Linked DNA regions of Drosophila melanogaster. The protein of the gene in region 1 interacts with the protein of each later gene in a pairwise test. Each region holds a gene or a part of one and is shown in the gene's direction. Other genes may lie near its edges.

Region 1 (5,043 bases):
TCGCACACACAAAGAAACACACTTATTGCATATGTGAGTTTGAGTGCGGCCCATTCCCACTTGATTTCAAAGGTCATCTTCTAGCACTGTCACAAAGATTTCGAGTTCAATGGAATTCAGCAGTCCGTTCTTTTCGATTTGACCGTCGACGGAGAAGGAGCTTACATCTCTTGGTAAGCCATTTAAAATGTTGACAAATCTAGACATGATTTTCCCAAGTGCCTGGTATCAGCAAAGTGTTATTTTTTATGTTTATGTAAAGTACACGTTTCTGGTACTAAGTACTTCGAGAAAGTTACCTGCGTAGGATATCAAAACTATCACTGCAGTTTCAGGCTTTTCCCAACTACACCTATTAATACATATTTTAACGTCCTATTAAAGTTGTAGTTTGGAAAGTTTTGGTTTTGCATTAGAAATCGCCACTCAACTTGGTTTTTTCTAAAATTATTTAGGTCCGTTTTGCATATTTTAGGTGTTTTACAAAATCTGTGTAACATACTTAATATATTTTTAGAAAACTAACACCTAAGTGTACGGAATCAAAAAAAAAAAGACAAATATGTGATATTTAAGCAAATTTGCCATAATCTCAAAATAGGAAAAAGTCTGTTATGCTTATATTTGAGTGTTTTAAAAAATTAGAAAACCCAATTTTAATTATTTTTAGAAAAGACAAAATGTGATATTTATGCTTGTTTTTGTTTGTTTTACAAAATTGGCATAACCGTCTTTTACCTATTTTTAGAAAACTAACACCGAAGTGTACAAATTCAAAATGTGATATTTTTTTCACATTTGCCATAATCTCCTTAAAATAGTAAAGGCTGTTATGCTTATTTTTGTGTTTTTTACAAAACTGGCATTCCCGTCTTACTTATTTTCAGAAAACTTACACCAAAGTGCACAGATTGAAAAAAAAAACACAAAAATGTGATATTTCATCACTCATCAACTCAAAATAGTAAATCGAAGGGCAAAAAAATATGGTATTCTGTTTGCTATTATAAAAGTTCACGAGCTAAGCTAACGATTCATTAAAATATGTACATACATATTTAAGTGTTAAAAAAAAATGTGTATCTCGCGAATTCCTTCGATTTCCTCGCGTTGCCGCCATTTTGAATATTCTCTCTCCCGAAAGTTGTAGAGTAGAGCAAAAACTTTGGATGTTTTGAGAGTTCGAAGTTCATACTGTCATCCCGCTCTAAACCTCTGCATTCCATTGTGTCCCGTTTTGTGATTTTTCCTTTTCGGGATCTTCTTTGCGTTCTTTGCCCCCGGCATTCAAATTCCGAGAGTCGTCGCGAGTGGTCGTTTGAAACGTATTACCCGACATCGTTCTAGCCAACAATTTTCTGCTGCGGATGGGGGCAGTACTGTTTTTTTAACATTGAGTATTGCACTTTTCACAGCCCGAAAATGTTAGCAACTGCCTTATACTAACAATTAGCATTTTTAAATTATTAGAAATGTGAATTAAGTTTGAAGCGATTTGGTTCGTCACAAGGGCAATTCTGCATTTTTTAACTAGTATTGCACTTGAGACGGCCTGATTACTTTAAAACGAATCATTTTATGAGCAAAGTAATTAGTTTTGTTGTGTTTTTAAACTCCTTGCAATAGGCGGCAAGACGGTGAAAAATCGAAATTTCTAGATCATTTTTCGGACGGTATATGGGTTAATATTTCATTTGTCGAATATATTGCACATTCACCGGCCTGAAAATATCAAGAATTAACATCGAAAAGTGAAAAAAAAGTGTTTGCGAAAACATAAACATTTGCAGGGCGGGTCGTGTGTCAGTGTATTTATATCTTAGCTATATTGCACACTTCCCGGCCTTTAAATGTCCAATGTTTCAACATTTAAATCTGTGAAATCGTAAAATTATAAAAATCCAGTTGCGCTTTTCTCGGAAATCCGCAATCCGTTAGGTGTGAGCGAGATGACAGCTGTTGCGGTTCTTCCCCATTCCTCTTTCGCTTCGTCACAGACTTGCCAGATCGGCAAATTGTGTGCAAAGAGGAACGGGGAACTTGGTTAATTTCTTTTGCAAGTGGCAAGTGTTTAATTATTACAATTTGTGCTTAACTTAATATTGGCCGATGCTTGAGCTAAATATTCCCGTACAACTGGTGCAACAAAGTAATAATAAGGCATTTTGAGTTGAATTTAGCAAATTAAATTAGTGCGCTCGGCTGGTTGCCTTTATTTTGCACGTCATTTACCGTTTTTCAAGAGGGCCAGTAGTGTATGGCCAGTAAGTATGCACAAATAAATGTTTCTAATCCGTTTAATGATGGGATGGCCATTGGTTTGGAAAACTAACAAGTAGGAGAATCATGAATAATGCCCAAGCACGCGCGAAATCAAGAGGTGTGAAATTGGGTTCACGGGCTGCGCCTTGGGCTCTGGAAAATGCAGTAGATGACCAGCTGAAGAACGGTTTTAGTTTTGGCGGAAGTGTAAGTGTACCGTTAGTACATATAGCGAAATATATAGGGAAAATATCCATAACAGCTGCTGCATTTAGCTCATTTTAAACTATTACTTCCCTGTTCTCATCTGTGGCCGTTGAGAACGAACCGGCAGTTCGTGCTGACAGCGAGCGCAATTACATAAATGTTTGTTTTGACAACAATAGCGAGTGCAACAAAAACAACAACAGCAAACGCAACAAAAAAGCCGGAGACGAGATTGCATAATTGCTTGTAAGATTTTGCTCCCACAATTTCTCAGTTTTTGTCATGGGACAAAAAAAAAAATTATACAAACTTACCGGCTGATTGTTATCTCCGGCAGAGAGCGGAAAAGAGCGGTAGTGAGAGCGATCCTTTTACCGTATTTTACAGCCTCTCGGTTAAGCTAACTTGCTAAAGTCGCTCTCTTTTTCGCCGTGCGACAGAGATGCTCCGTGCGAGAGAGCGACTTACAGTGGGTCATTTTAATTGTGCTCTGCTTATCTAAATGTATTCAAGTATATCCATAAATTGTAATGTAGCACTTTCGTAATTGCCGGCTTTATTTATGCACTGTGAACAGCCAGGGGCTAGATGGCGCCTTAGCATTTTTCCCCACTGTCCACGCTCTAATGCCTAAGAGCGTTGGTTCACTAGCTAGTTTATAGCTAACTTTTGAAAACTCCGTTTGTTAAATAATTATTCAACACTATCTTATTCAAAATTCTTAAAATATTTTCTAAGGATTTTTTTTTTTACCAATGAAAGCATAATATAATAAAAATGCATATAGATTTATGTTGCAATAATTCGGATAAAACGGCACACTTATCTTCTTATATACATACGTACTTATTACATTTCTTTTGGGTAATTAACCAATTGGTTAACATTGAGTGCTTTCACTATAGTTTTGCACTCTCTGCCATATAAGAACGACTTCTGCTCTGAAACTGAGTCAGCATCTCTATACGCCGGCTCTCGATTCCCGAGGTAATGAAGTTGCAGCCGAGCTGAGCCTCAGTTGCCTGGCGACTAGCGAACAGCTTGGACGTGTGGTGTGCTCTTCGGTGTGGTTTCGAGTCTCGAGTTCCGAGTTTTCCCCATATTGCAGCCGTCAAGTAAGACCCGCTCCGAGTTTTGTGTGAATTTGTGTGATATGTGTGTGGTTCGCGGCTCGTTTCGTTTTTTATTTGCCGTTGTCATTGGTTTTTGATTTGTTGAGCGGTCGCCGCAAGCCACTTGACGGGCATTCTCTTCTGGCTTTGTTTCATAATAACTCGCTGTGTGTGTTTGCGATGCGGTACATATATATGTTATGGTACCTACATATATGAATTGTGTCTGTGAAAACGTCAAAAAGGCCAGGCCAAGAATACAAATAACAAATAAAATGTTGGCCCGCTTGTGGAGCATGTGCCGTTGCTTCGGCTTCGGTTCGTTCGAAATGCTTGTAATAATATGCCGTTTGTCTTTCCGTTTCTACCCCGACCAATTAGATCCGGAAATTTTGGAAAATGCTGCTCTCAATGCAAATGTGGCGCTCTCTGTGGCTGGCGGCCCTATTCTGCGGATTAGCCCAGGCCAAAGGTAAGCACTTTTTCTATCTATATACTATACGCAAAAATTTAAATATAAATATCAGAGTTAAGATCGGGGAGTGCAAGGCTAAAAAGCTTGAGAAGCTCCCATAGCGCTGCCATGATGTCATTCGCGTAATGAAACACAATAAGTATTTATTTTTTCTTTTCGATTTTGTTGAAAAACCGACAAAGTGACCTCGTTTTTGGTCGTGAAGTGCACATACACACACAATTTGTGGCCATTTGGAGTGATGGTCGAATAAAACGATCTTCGGTTTTGTCGGGGGCGTGCTGGAGCTTTTTTTTTGGTAAAAAAACGAATGACTGAGGCAACGAACTTGCGGCGACTTAATGAAGTTTGGCAGCGCGGCCCTGTCATGATTCACTCACTCGTTCTTACGCTTCCTGCCATATATTAATGCTAAATTGTATAAGGCATATATCCCTCGAAAGCCCTAACACATTAGTCATTAACTTGCCTGCCCCTGCAAGTTGCCTTTAACAGCCAAGACAACAAACGACTAAACAAACTATCAAGCGAGCGCGGCGAAAAAACAAAAGACCAAACAAGACACCTACACAAACACAAGTGCTGGGAAGGCAACATGACACGCCAAAACAAAAAAAAATAAGATATTACAAAGAAATAAAAAACAAAGCACAGTCCAGCCAACAAGATAATATCGACGAGAAAAATACTTAAACAAAGCGAAAAAAAGGGGCAGTACTCATAATAAAGCCCACACTCAACTGGTCAAGAATCGGCTGGGGTTGTCTTATTAAAAGGCAATCAGAAAGGAGAATTAACTGCAAAAAAATATTACGCGAGAAAAAATGAAGAATTAAAGGCGAAATACAGCCAAAACGGGCGACAATCGACGACTTGTGTAGGCGAACTGGTCCCGGGAATTAAGATGCAGCCTAAAAATACATAAGGCCGATACGAAAACATCTCTCTCGCGGGCTACAAACAAACAAATAAATATATATATATGTA
Region 2 (4,820 bases), on another chromosome or scaffold:
CAAGCTACGGAAAGTGAAAGACTTTGATTGGAATTCTCATAAGAATGTGAAACAGGTTTCGCTCTCATAACGGTATCTGCATACACATACACACACACACACACAGATGAGCCGTAATAGCCAGGCAAAAACAAGAAAAAGCCGGAAAAAGAAAGTAAAAAGGCAGAAAATGTTTAGTTTATATTTCTAGAGCGAGAAAGAGAGAGAGAGAGATATGGGGACGTAGAGAGCGACTGTTAAGTAATACATTTGCAGAGAAAGCGCGCGCAAAAGACACAAGAAAAAAAAACACATTTGCATGTATTGTGTGCTACTTATTGATGGCGTTATTTTCTGGTGTTTTTCGCACAATTGCCGCAGTTTCTGAACGCTGCTTTTGACATTGGAAGAGTTCAAGCGGCTTTTTTTTTACGAATTCGATTTAAACTCATTTTCGATCTGCGAAGGTCAACAGCAAAACAAAATGAAGCCGACTGCACGCACACCAAGGCAATATTTACACAGATACATTCACCACAGTTGTATGTTGCTTGTGTTGCTCCTTAAATATGTTACATATTTAACATATATGATATGTTGTGACAATCAAATAGTACTTGCAATCTTTACCTTGGTTGAGCCGCTCGATTTTACAACTGTTATTTATCACACTTTATTTTCAGTTTAAAATGCACTTTTTCGCTTCCTTTTCACTTTTGATTGCTACTGACATCAACTTGACGTTCTGCTAGTGACTGTATGTTAGCTCCTAACAGCTTCGGCAATTTATCGATTAGTGCTGTTAACGCTACAGCTACCTAACAGAATTAAAGAAATATATTAAATTTAACAAAAATACTGAATACAGCTAGCTGGTCATACTCCTGTTTTACATTTTATTTAATTTACGAATACGTTTAATTTAAATTTTGTTGATATATAATTTAATAAATTTTTTGGTCTCAAAACGTCTTAGCTAACCCCACACAAAACCACTTCGAGATTATTCTGAGGTTCTACGAAAAAAAACTTGTTATATATACAGAGATATATGTATTTTAAAACCAAATAAAAATGAACCTGTATATAATAATACCATAAGATAGCTACTTACTCTACGAGCTGTGAGCCTTGAGTGCCGGTGCTCATATAACTTTCTTAAGCTTGCTTGATATAATTTTCATATTGCATATCTAAAAAAAAATAAAAAAATAATTATAAAATTTTTGTAAAAAGTTCAGTAAAAACAGTTTAATTCACTTATTACCTGGTATTTCCTTCTCTGCAAATATAAACGAATTTTAGATATTTTCAAATTTGTTTGAGTTGGTGTGTTCTGTTTATTATGAAAACATGGATACATTTTTAACAAGTGCTCAAAATATTATTTTATTTACTAAATATATCAATATATAAAATAAATTGTATTTTCTATTAGAAGACTAGTAATAAAAATGACAAAGTTATAATAATACCATTGGAAATAATTACCAAATTGCAATTTTTGAAATTGCAAAGTGTGACTGCACGAATACTTGTTGAATATCAACTGCATGAATTAAATTTCGCTTTCCGAATCAACGAAACATCAAATTTGGTCAAACATGAGCAAAACATGTCATATAATATTAACAATATATTCTTTAAGAAATTTAACAATTTTAAATAAATTATGAGTGACCCTGTGTTGTGTAAAATATGTGGTATTTATTCAGTATTTTTGGGTTTTTTTTTCTGTTTTTCGGCAGCACTGCGCGGCGGTCACGCCTTTGTATTGTATTTATATTCATTCGTTAAGCGACGGTCGTCCAAAAAGGCAGAAAATGTGGAAATTCATTGATGAACAGTGGTGAAAAGTGCGTGCAGTCATTCGCTTCAATTTGTCGTGGCCGATTCCTTTTCGCAACCAATTTTTCTTATTTTTTTTCTTGTCAGTAACAAGTTGTCGGTCAATAAAAGTGTCAGTTTATTTTCTGCATAATAACGGTTACTAAAGCCTAAATTTTTTGTTTGTGACTTCTTTTTTTTTAAACAAATGCGCCGACGCGCCAGAAGTTTATATTCTGTTTTTATGTTTTCCGCTTAAAACGAAACGTGACTAGTTTGTTTTAAATTGGTGTGCAACGAAAACAAGAAGAAGCGGATGAAGAGGGTGGAGAGGAGAGGAAGCAGAAGAAAAAGAGCAACAGTCAAGTGAATTAGTTTTTTTTTCGTCCATGCCGTCGCTGCCAACGTCGACGCCGTTGCGCCGCCGCATTTAGTCATTGCATCAGTGTGTCCGAGTGTGTGTGTGGCAGAGAGAGCGAGTGGGAGAGCAAGGGTGGAGTAAAAGTAAATGCGTGCAATTAGCATTTAATGCAATCACCATTAACCGCCTACTATTGTAATTTATATTACCCTAGTACCTGTAATTTACACATACACCTACACACACACCTGCTCAGCTAGTGGTAGTGCAAATATGAAGTGCAAAAAGCGGCGGCAACAACAATTGTCTGTTAATTGCTGGATATTTCGTAATGCAGCAACAATAACAACGGTAGCAAACTGTAATGCCACAGTGAAGACTCGCTAATCGAAACTTTGTCGGGCATATTAACCAAATTCGTTATATGTTTGCATTGAATTTACATTTCATATATTAACTTCTAAATCTCGTTAGATTTACATGCTCGCGTGTTCAATAGCAGGGAGGGCCCACTGTACTTGTAGTGAAGCGCCGTTACAGCCACAAATGCGTGTGAGTGTGATTATGTATGCATGTGTGTCTGCATCAAATCACACACTTGCAGCGCTCATGCACACGCACTTGTACTTGTGCGTGGCTCACATTTCCATAGCCAGCCGCTTCCCCCTCCACGATCAGTGTTGCTCTTCACCTGCAGCTTTCGCTTCTGCTTCTTCTTCTCCCGCACGCATGTGCCGTTACAAATTCGCTTGGACATAAATCATTTTTCGTGCATTAGCCGGCGATTGTTAATGGAAATCGTATTAGAAAACAACAATTACAATGGGCCCACATCTGCCGCTCTCGCTCTCGATCGCGCTCATCATTGCTCTCCCGTTTCCCGTTACAGAGAGTGCAATACAAGTGCAATATTAATTAAGTAATAGAGGAAACGTAATATGCGTGTGCAATACAAACAAATGACCATGTAACGGCCAACAGAAATGTATATGCAATACAAACGTACATACATGTGTAAAACAATAAGCGCAAAACACCGCCCATCCCCGCTTGAAAAGTAAAACCAGCAATCTGCGAAACCTTCGACCATCATTGGGTTTTACTGTACTTGAAAATGGACTGTGCCACGCGAAAACAACAACAATTACGGGCACATCATCAGCAGCAACAAATACAAATACAAACACATGGACGAAAGCGGCAGCAATTACAAAAACAACGCCACAACCACCACCACTACTACCAAAATTCACAACAACAACAAAAACATTTCGTGTGGCTTGTTGTTGGCATTTTGACAATTTTTTTGGCTCAGGTGAGTGAGAAAAAAAAATGAAGGAAAAGAAACAACAACAAAACATAGTGATAAAGATAAAGCGACAGGTAAACCCGCAAAGTTAGTTACCTCTATGATTTGGGGGAAATTCGTTGGGAAAATTCTGAGGACTCCTAATGGATGGCGCAGGGTTGTCAAAAATATTCATATTTTAACTAATTACAATGCAGATTTCATAGATTGGCCAGCAACACAGACAATTTGCTAATTATTTTGAAATGTTTTTTTCTGTTTTTATTGATTCTTTTTTTTTCGAAAATTACAAGCCAACTATTTTCCACATTTAGTGGCAGAAAATGTCTTAACTGGGTTTTTGATTCGCTGAGTGCGTTTTAGGAACTCGTTTGGCCGGTTCTAGTTGTGATTTTGGCTGGGTGTTATGTTATTTTAATATGAACTCGCTCAACCGCTCACTAAAATTGAACTAAAATTACGATAAATCCAGATTTCATATAAAATCGAATAGTGAGATACAAATATTTAATGTGTTCAATATTTCAAACCAGGTTTACTTGTTATCTGATCAAACTTCGGTAGTCAAACTATTGATTGCATAGCTCGAAATCTTTAAAGGCAATTTAGAAGCGCAAATTAGAAGTTTAGGCCCAAGTCAATTTGAAATGACACACACAGGTGATGAATCCGGTGATTAAATTTGATTTTGTTGGGTGATTTGTGGGCTTATTCCCGTGATTATTCCTTGTTTTATTGCCTGAGTTTTTTTTTTTACCTCGTTCACAAAACTCGTTTCATTTCGTTTCGTTTTGCATTGTTGTCGCATTGTTTCAGCGCAAACGAAAGACAATAAAAACAAAATCCCAACCATCGCAACGCAACAAGTAAAAAGTTAAAAAAAAAAAAAAAATGATGAAAACACTAAAAAGCGAACGCAAGTTAAAATCAAGGTTGGTTCTGATGACGCTGTCCATCGCAACTTCCTCACTCTGAAAAAATTTCAATACGCTTATCGAGCGATTCCCCGAGATAGCCCAGCATAGTCGTAAACTGTTTCTAAGCTTGAAATAATAAAAAATAAAAAAAACTATAGAAATCAAAGCCTTAATAAATAGATGGCAAAACTTGTATCTTTGCTGCTGCAGTTTGTGTATTCTTTGTATCTCAGATGATCACAACAACAATAAAGTTGTCCCTGATTTCGCAGTTTCTTTGGCCACAATAACTTGAATGCACTGCCGTCTTAGTTTTGTTTTTTTTTTTTCTTTCCACATGCTTCATATTCATAACTCACGTGTTTCTGGCACTGTGACTTTGGCTTTCATTTTATCTGGGCATTGCCGCGATTGCGGATCGCAGGTC
Region 3 (4,993 bases), on another chromosome or scaffold:
AAAGCAGCCATAAAGGGTAATCAACTAATTAGCTTGTGCTTAGCTATTGTGATGATCAAAGTGTTAGTTTATACCGTGTTAAAGTTTGAAATAATTTATTCAAAAATGTTTAACACTTTGGGGTTAACCAGTAGAATTGAAAAACAATGAGTCGCGAAATTGGGCGTATAATTTAGACGATTAGATGTTCCGAATTACCGAAACCGGCCAGCTGTAAATATGATATAATTAATATTCAATTTAATAATTTTGTTTATTATTGATATTTTGATATATTACTTTGAAAGTTCGATTGGCCATCTATCCAAAATTTGCAAAATGTCATTCATGAACCAAAGTGAAAACTCCAAGAATGAGATTTAGCACTGGAGGGAACAAAAGAACGTCGTTCCTCCGACTTTGGGGGATGGTTCGGGGGAGGGAACCTTCACTGGGTTTGGTAAAAATAACTCTTTTCGCCACGATCGGCTCTTCGTGAAATCCCCCTCGGTGACGCAGAGCAAAAAGCAAAAAGCAGTCCCACCAACCAACCAGTCAACCAGCTATCCAACCATCCAGCCAAGCAGCCGGCCAATCAAACCAGATAAAACCGAATTTAATTCGATTAAGGGGGTTATTCGCGTGCTCTTGCCCCCTTATTGTGGTTGCTGTCGGGCTTAACTTAACTTGACTTGGCTGATAGTAAAGATGTTACGAGTGTCTAAGTTTTAGTGCGCGAACGATTGTGAATGAGTGTGGAGAGTCGCGAGTATGGAATGAATTCGGTAAACAAACGAAACGAGCTAATTGCCGCAATCGCAAACGAATCGTATCCACGAACCAAGGTGCCAAGGTGCTAAACTCTTACCCGAATCAAAGCGACAAAATGGTGTTGTAGCAAGTGATAATGTTTTTATTTAGGACCACAGAAACGCAGCTCCTTCGACGCTAGTTTAGGTTCGTCTTCAGCTGTGACCCACAGAGCACATCACGTTTTATTCAACAGAAGTTAAACGAATATGAATGAGTGGGAAATATGCATATTTTAGTTTTATTTGTTAAGGCCTTTTTGCCTTTGAATAAAACGAAACAAAGATAAACAATAACAACTTTAATATTTGGGGAAAAACAAAATATATAAAATGTCAGTTTGATTGAATATCAACACACAATCATCTCTGCGTTTAAACTGTGTGGCTAAATGACAGTCATCTGAAATGGAACGATAATAATAAGATTGGATTCGCTAATCTCGTTTGCGTTGTCGACAACAAAAATGTTAATATAGAGCAAAATCTTTGATTCTACTACTTATCAAGTACGCTTATAAATTTGAAAAGTTGTTAAGGTTTGAAATATTTATGAAAAATAAATATAAAATATTTCTATAAAATTTGTTTTGTTTTTTACCCAAAATAAACAAAAAATATTCTCAGTGTAAAGTCCTTTTCCAGAACGAAAAAATGTTGTAATAATCCGATAAGTATTAGTTGGTTAAAATTTCTAAAGTTTCAAAATTTTACCATGAATATTTTGTGTAAGCTCTAAAATGAAGATTAAAATTTTAAGGAACTTTGAACAGAACGCATAGTATTTTCATATTATAAAATTCTTTACGTAAAATTAACCAATTAACTATCATAACAAAGAATTTTTCTTTCCCCTGTACTCTGCACCTCGAACTACTTTCTGTGTATGCGTTGCAACATTACGTATACGCCCGCTAGACCCTCTAAAGAGCGGGTATCCCGCCGTCGGACCTCCTGGCCAACGGTTCTTTCCCGAATCGCGCTGCTTTCCTCGTCGCTCCGCACAGAGAGCGCTCTTGTGGTGAGTTCGCCCCGAACACTTGTTGGAAACTCACCACGCGGGCGCCAAGTTGGTTCGAACTGAAGCAGCCGCTGCCAAATCCACAGCACAGCGGAAGCAGAGGAGCAGCTGACTGGCGCAAAAAGCCATAATAATCGGGCGGTAAACACTTGACAACGCTCAAACGCCGTGCGACAGTCGGCGCGATAAGTTGCAATTGCCCAGCCGCCACGGAGAAATCATCGGAGTGTTTCCCGTGAGATTCAGAAACATATATAAAAACGAACCCGAATTCAAATCCGAAACCGAACCCGAAACACCCAAAACAAGCCGACGTGGTCGATGCGTTCTGAATATCCGGACAATCGTCGTTGAGGGTCAAGCGCAGTCGGACGTGTAAACTCGGTCCTTCGATTCGCGCTCCTTGTGATATCATCCACTCCCAGTGGGGCGCTCTCATCCTGCCAAGTGTGTGAAATGCAAATGTGCTCGGCTCGTTAGCTAGCGTCAAGGTGCCCGTGCAATCGATAAGAATCTGTGTCCAGGGTCCACTGAGCAACCAAGTGCAGGACTCCCCAGAGCCACACCATGGCCGATCGCTTCCAGATCTCAAAGGTGAACGGCACCGCGAACGCCGGCTACGATGGCGAGGCTAGATCAGCTGAATCCGACCAGACGGACGCAGCCCACCCACTTCCGCCCACCAGCAACGAAAACCACCTGCATCCCAAGGCTTCGGGGGAGACGGGCGAGAACCGCCGCAGCTCCCGGCTCTCCTTCCGCGGATTCGGTAACTTCCTGCGCAAATCGGACGCCGAGCGCAAGTTTAGTCTCGCCCAGCTAACAAAGTAAGTTTAATTTGAATTTAACGCATTCCCGGCTAAAATGCGAGCGATTTGCTTTAAAAATGTGTCGGCACAGGTGGAAAAACCGGAACGTCGTTTCTAATCAATGGTATTTTGTTGTTAATTGAAGTTATCGGAAAATATATATATATATATATTCTTCGGTTGGACTCTCGTCGTTAATAATATTGTTTTTGAATTTGAATATTGATATTATCAACGATTTATCCAGTTAGGATTTTTCGCTAAAGGAATGGAAACCCTATGTCATAGTATGCAATGGTTTTACAACTATTCATATTTTGGGGAATTTTGTAGCTCAATTAATTTGTATTTCACATTATATTTTACTTACAGGTTCTCATCTTCGTGTTTTTACCTAAAATAATAATAGAACTTGAATTAAAAAAACATTTTTACGCTTTGATCTTATAGTCGACATCTGATGGAAGTTTTGTTTAAGATGTAAATTAAGAGAAAATATAAAAGACACAATCTCTTCTGTTTTCTCAGCGGTTAGCGTGTTGAAAATAAATTTTCATTTTCAACATCCGATTTTACAAGTTGTTGGATTTTTGATAATTGCTTCGATTGAGGGGATTTACTCTCAAGATAAAAGTGTTGCGATTCAGCTGATACCTTTTAGGAGCTTGAGATACATTATTTCCATCCATTAGTGCGCACGTGGTGTCTACACTCGCGTCTGAAACAATTTAGGAATAATACAACAATTAATTAGAGTTTTCCCAAAGCAAATTAATCATTAATTTTACTCTCCGTAATGAGTTTCAATTGAGGTGCGAACACATGTTTAAACTCAGTCTGTTTGCAGTGCACAATAAATAAATGCCATTGTACTGGGCCTTAAAACAGACAATAAAACACGTCAAAATTGTGTGATATGTGAATGAAAAGCGAAACGAAAACATTCCGTTTGCATAACCGAAACGAAGGTTACATTATGCCAATTTATTGTAATCACGTTTGGCACATAAACCCAAAATAATGACAGAACGAAAGGCTCAACAAGAGCAACATTGTCCGAAGTTGGATGCACTTAATGTCCGATTGATGCACTCCACTTTCACTTGGTTCAATCTCAGTTTATACTAGTATATATAAATACATGATTGTAGAATATTAGGGTAGGTTCACCTAATATGTTTCACTTGCTATTAAAAGCTAATTGTGTGATTAAATAGGAATGGCAAATATAAATACCCGTTTGAAAACATACAGTTCATGTGAATGATTTCAAGTACATGACGAACATTCCGACATGAAGCACTTTCAAAAAAAGGTCACAGATCACTTCCAAATTAACTTGCTTCTGGATTAATTCGAATTTTTTCCACTTCTGATTATTCAAATTTGCCACATGACAGTTGGCTGTTGGCCCAAATTAACGATTTCGACCCAGACCCCGTCGAAAGCCCCCGAATTAATTGCTGCAATTGTTCCACTTTCGATAATACGCAATCTCGTGCTCAAATTAAATGCAATAAAAAGCTGCCAAAGATCTGTCCGAAAATTGGGAGACCTCCGGATTAAGAATGACAGCCAATGATTTGTTTTCCCGGAAAATTTGCACACGGCAAGCAAGTTACATCATCAGCCCGCCAAAAAATAATATAATAACTTATCTAAATTCTGAGCACGTCGGGTATATTAGCCGTTTTTGGCACAAGGATCGCCATCGGAGCTAGCGATCACTTGCATTCCGCGAGTTCCGGAGCTCGCAGCTCAGATGGCTTTCTCCAAAAGGATGAGCGTGTCAACAAATAAATTTACGACTGTCGTTCGGAGAGTGCGATCGCAAATGAGTTCAATTGATCGAACTCTGCCCGGCTCCAATTGTGTTGAACTAACTCGGACCAGCTGATTCCCAACGAAACCGGCCAGCAATCAATGCCCCTCGATGGCCTGGACTGGACCCCCATATACGTCATGAACGAGCATCTAGAGAATATTTACATGCTATAGTACATAAACATAGTCGTGAGGAATGTATGTGTATCTTAGCCGAATGTATCTGTATCTCCGTCGTCTGGCAAATGAATTGGAAGTGAAAATGGAAATGGAATCGAAGGAAAAGCCACAAGACGTCCGATTCTCTTTGCTGAATGCTTGCAATTTATTTAGTAGCACAATGAAAAACGCCCTCCACAGATTCTGTCTACAATTAATAAACACTCATAAGTTATTCACAAGCCGAGCGGCGATCTAAAAGCAATGGGGATCGAATACATAGAATAAGAAAGTGAGGATTACACTTTATTGTAATTTATCAGAGGTGCTAGTGTATCTCTAGAGAATATTCAGACTTTCCATCTTAATCAGGATTTTCAAGGCATCAAGAC

The links.
Region 2: the proteins of qsm (region 1) and Ptp4E interact in a two-hybrid assay, tested with the Drosophila melanogaster proteins (one large-scale study listed by BioGRID).
Region 3: the proteins of qsm (region 1) and NKCC interact in a two-hybrid assay, tested with the Drosophila melanogaster proteins (one large-scale study listed by BioGRID).

The regions. Positions count from the first base shown.
Region 1 is NT_033778.4:20,580,571-20,585,613, reverse strand, and holds the start of qsm (quasimodo), read left to right. Parts: upstream 1-2,022; 5' UTR 2,023-2,264; intron 2,265-3,481; exon of another isoform or gene 3,482-3,584; intron 3,585-3,962; 5' UTR 3,963-3,980; coding exon 3,981-4,053; intron 4,054-5,043.
Region 2 is NC_004354.4:4,937,366-4,942,185, forward strand, and holds the start of Ptp4E (protein tyrosine phosphatase 4E), read left to right. Parts: upstream 1-1,762; 5' UTR 1,763-1,835; exon of another isoform or gene 1,836-1,939; intron 1,940-2,071; exon of another isoform or gene 2,072-2,167; intron 2,168-2,215; exon of another isoform or gene 2,216-2,310; intron 2,311-3,056; 5' UTR 3,057-3,281; coding exon 3,282-3,482; intron 3,483-4,820.
Region 3 is NT_033777.3:5,499,680-5,504,672, reverse strand, and holds the start of NKCC (sodium potassium chloride cotransporter), read left to right. Parts: upstream 1-1,970; 5' UTR 1,971-2,376; coding exon 2,377-2,636; intron 2,637-4,993.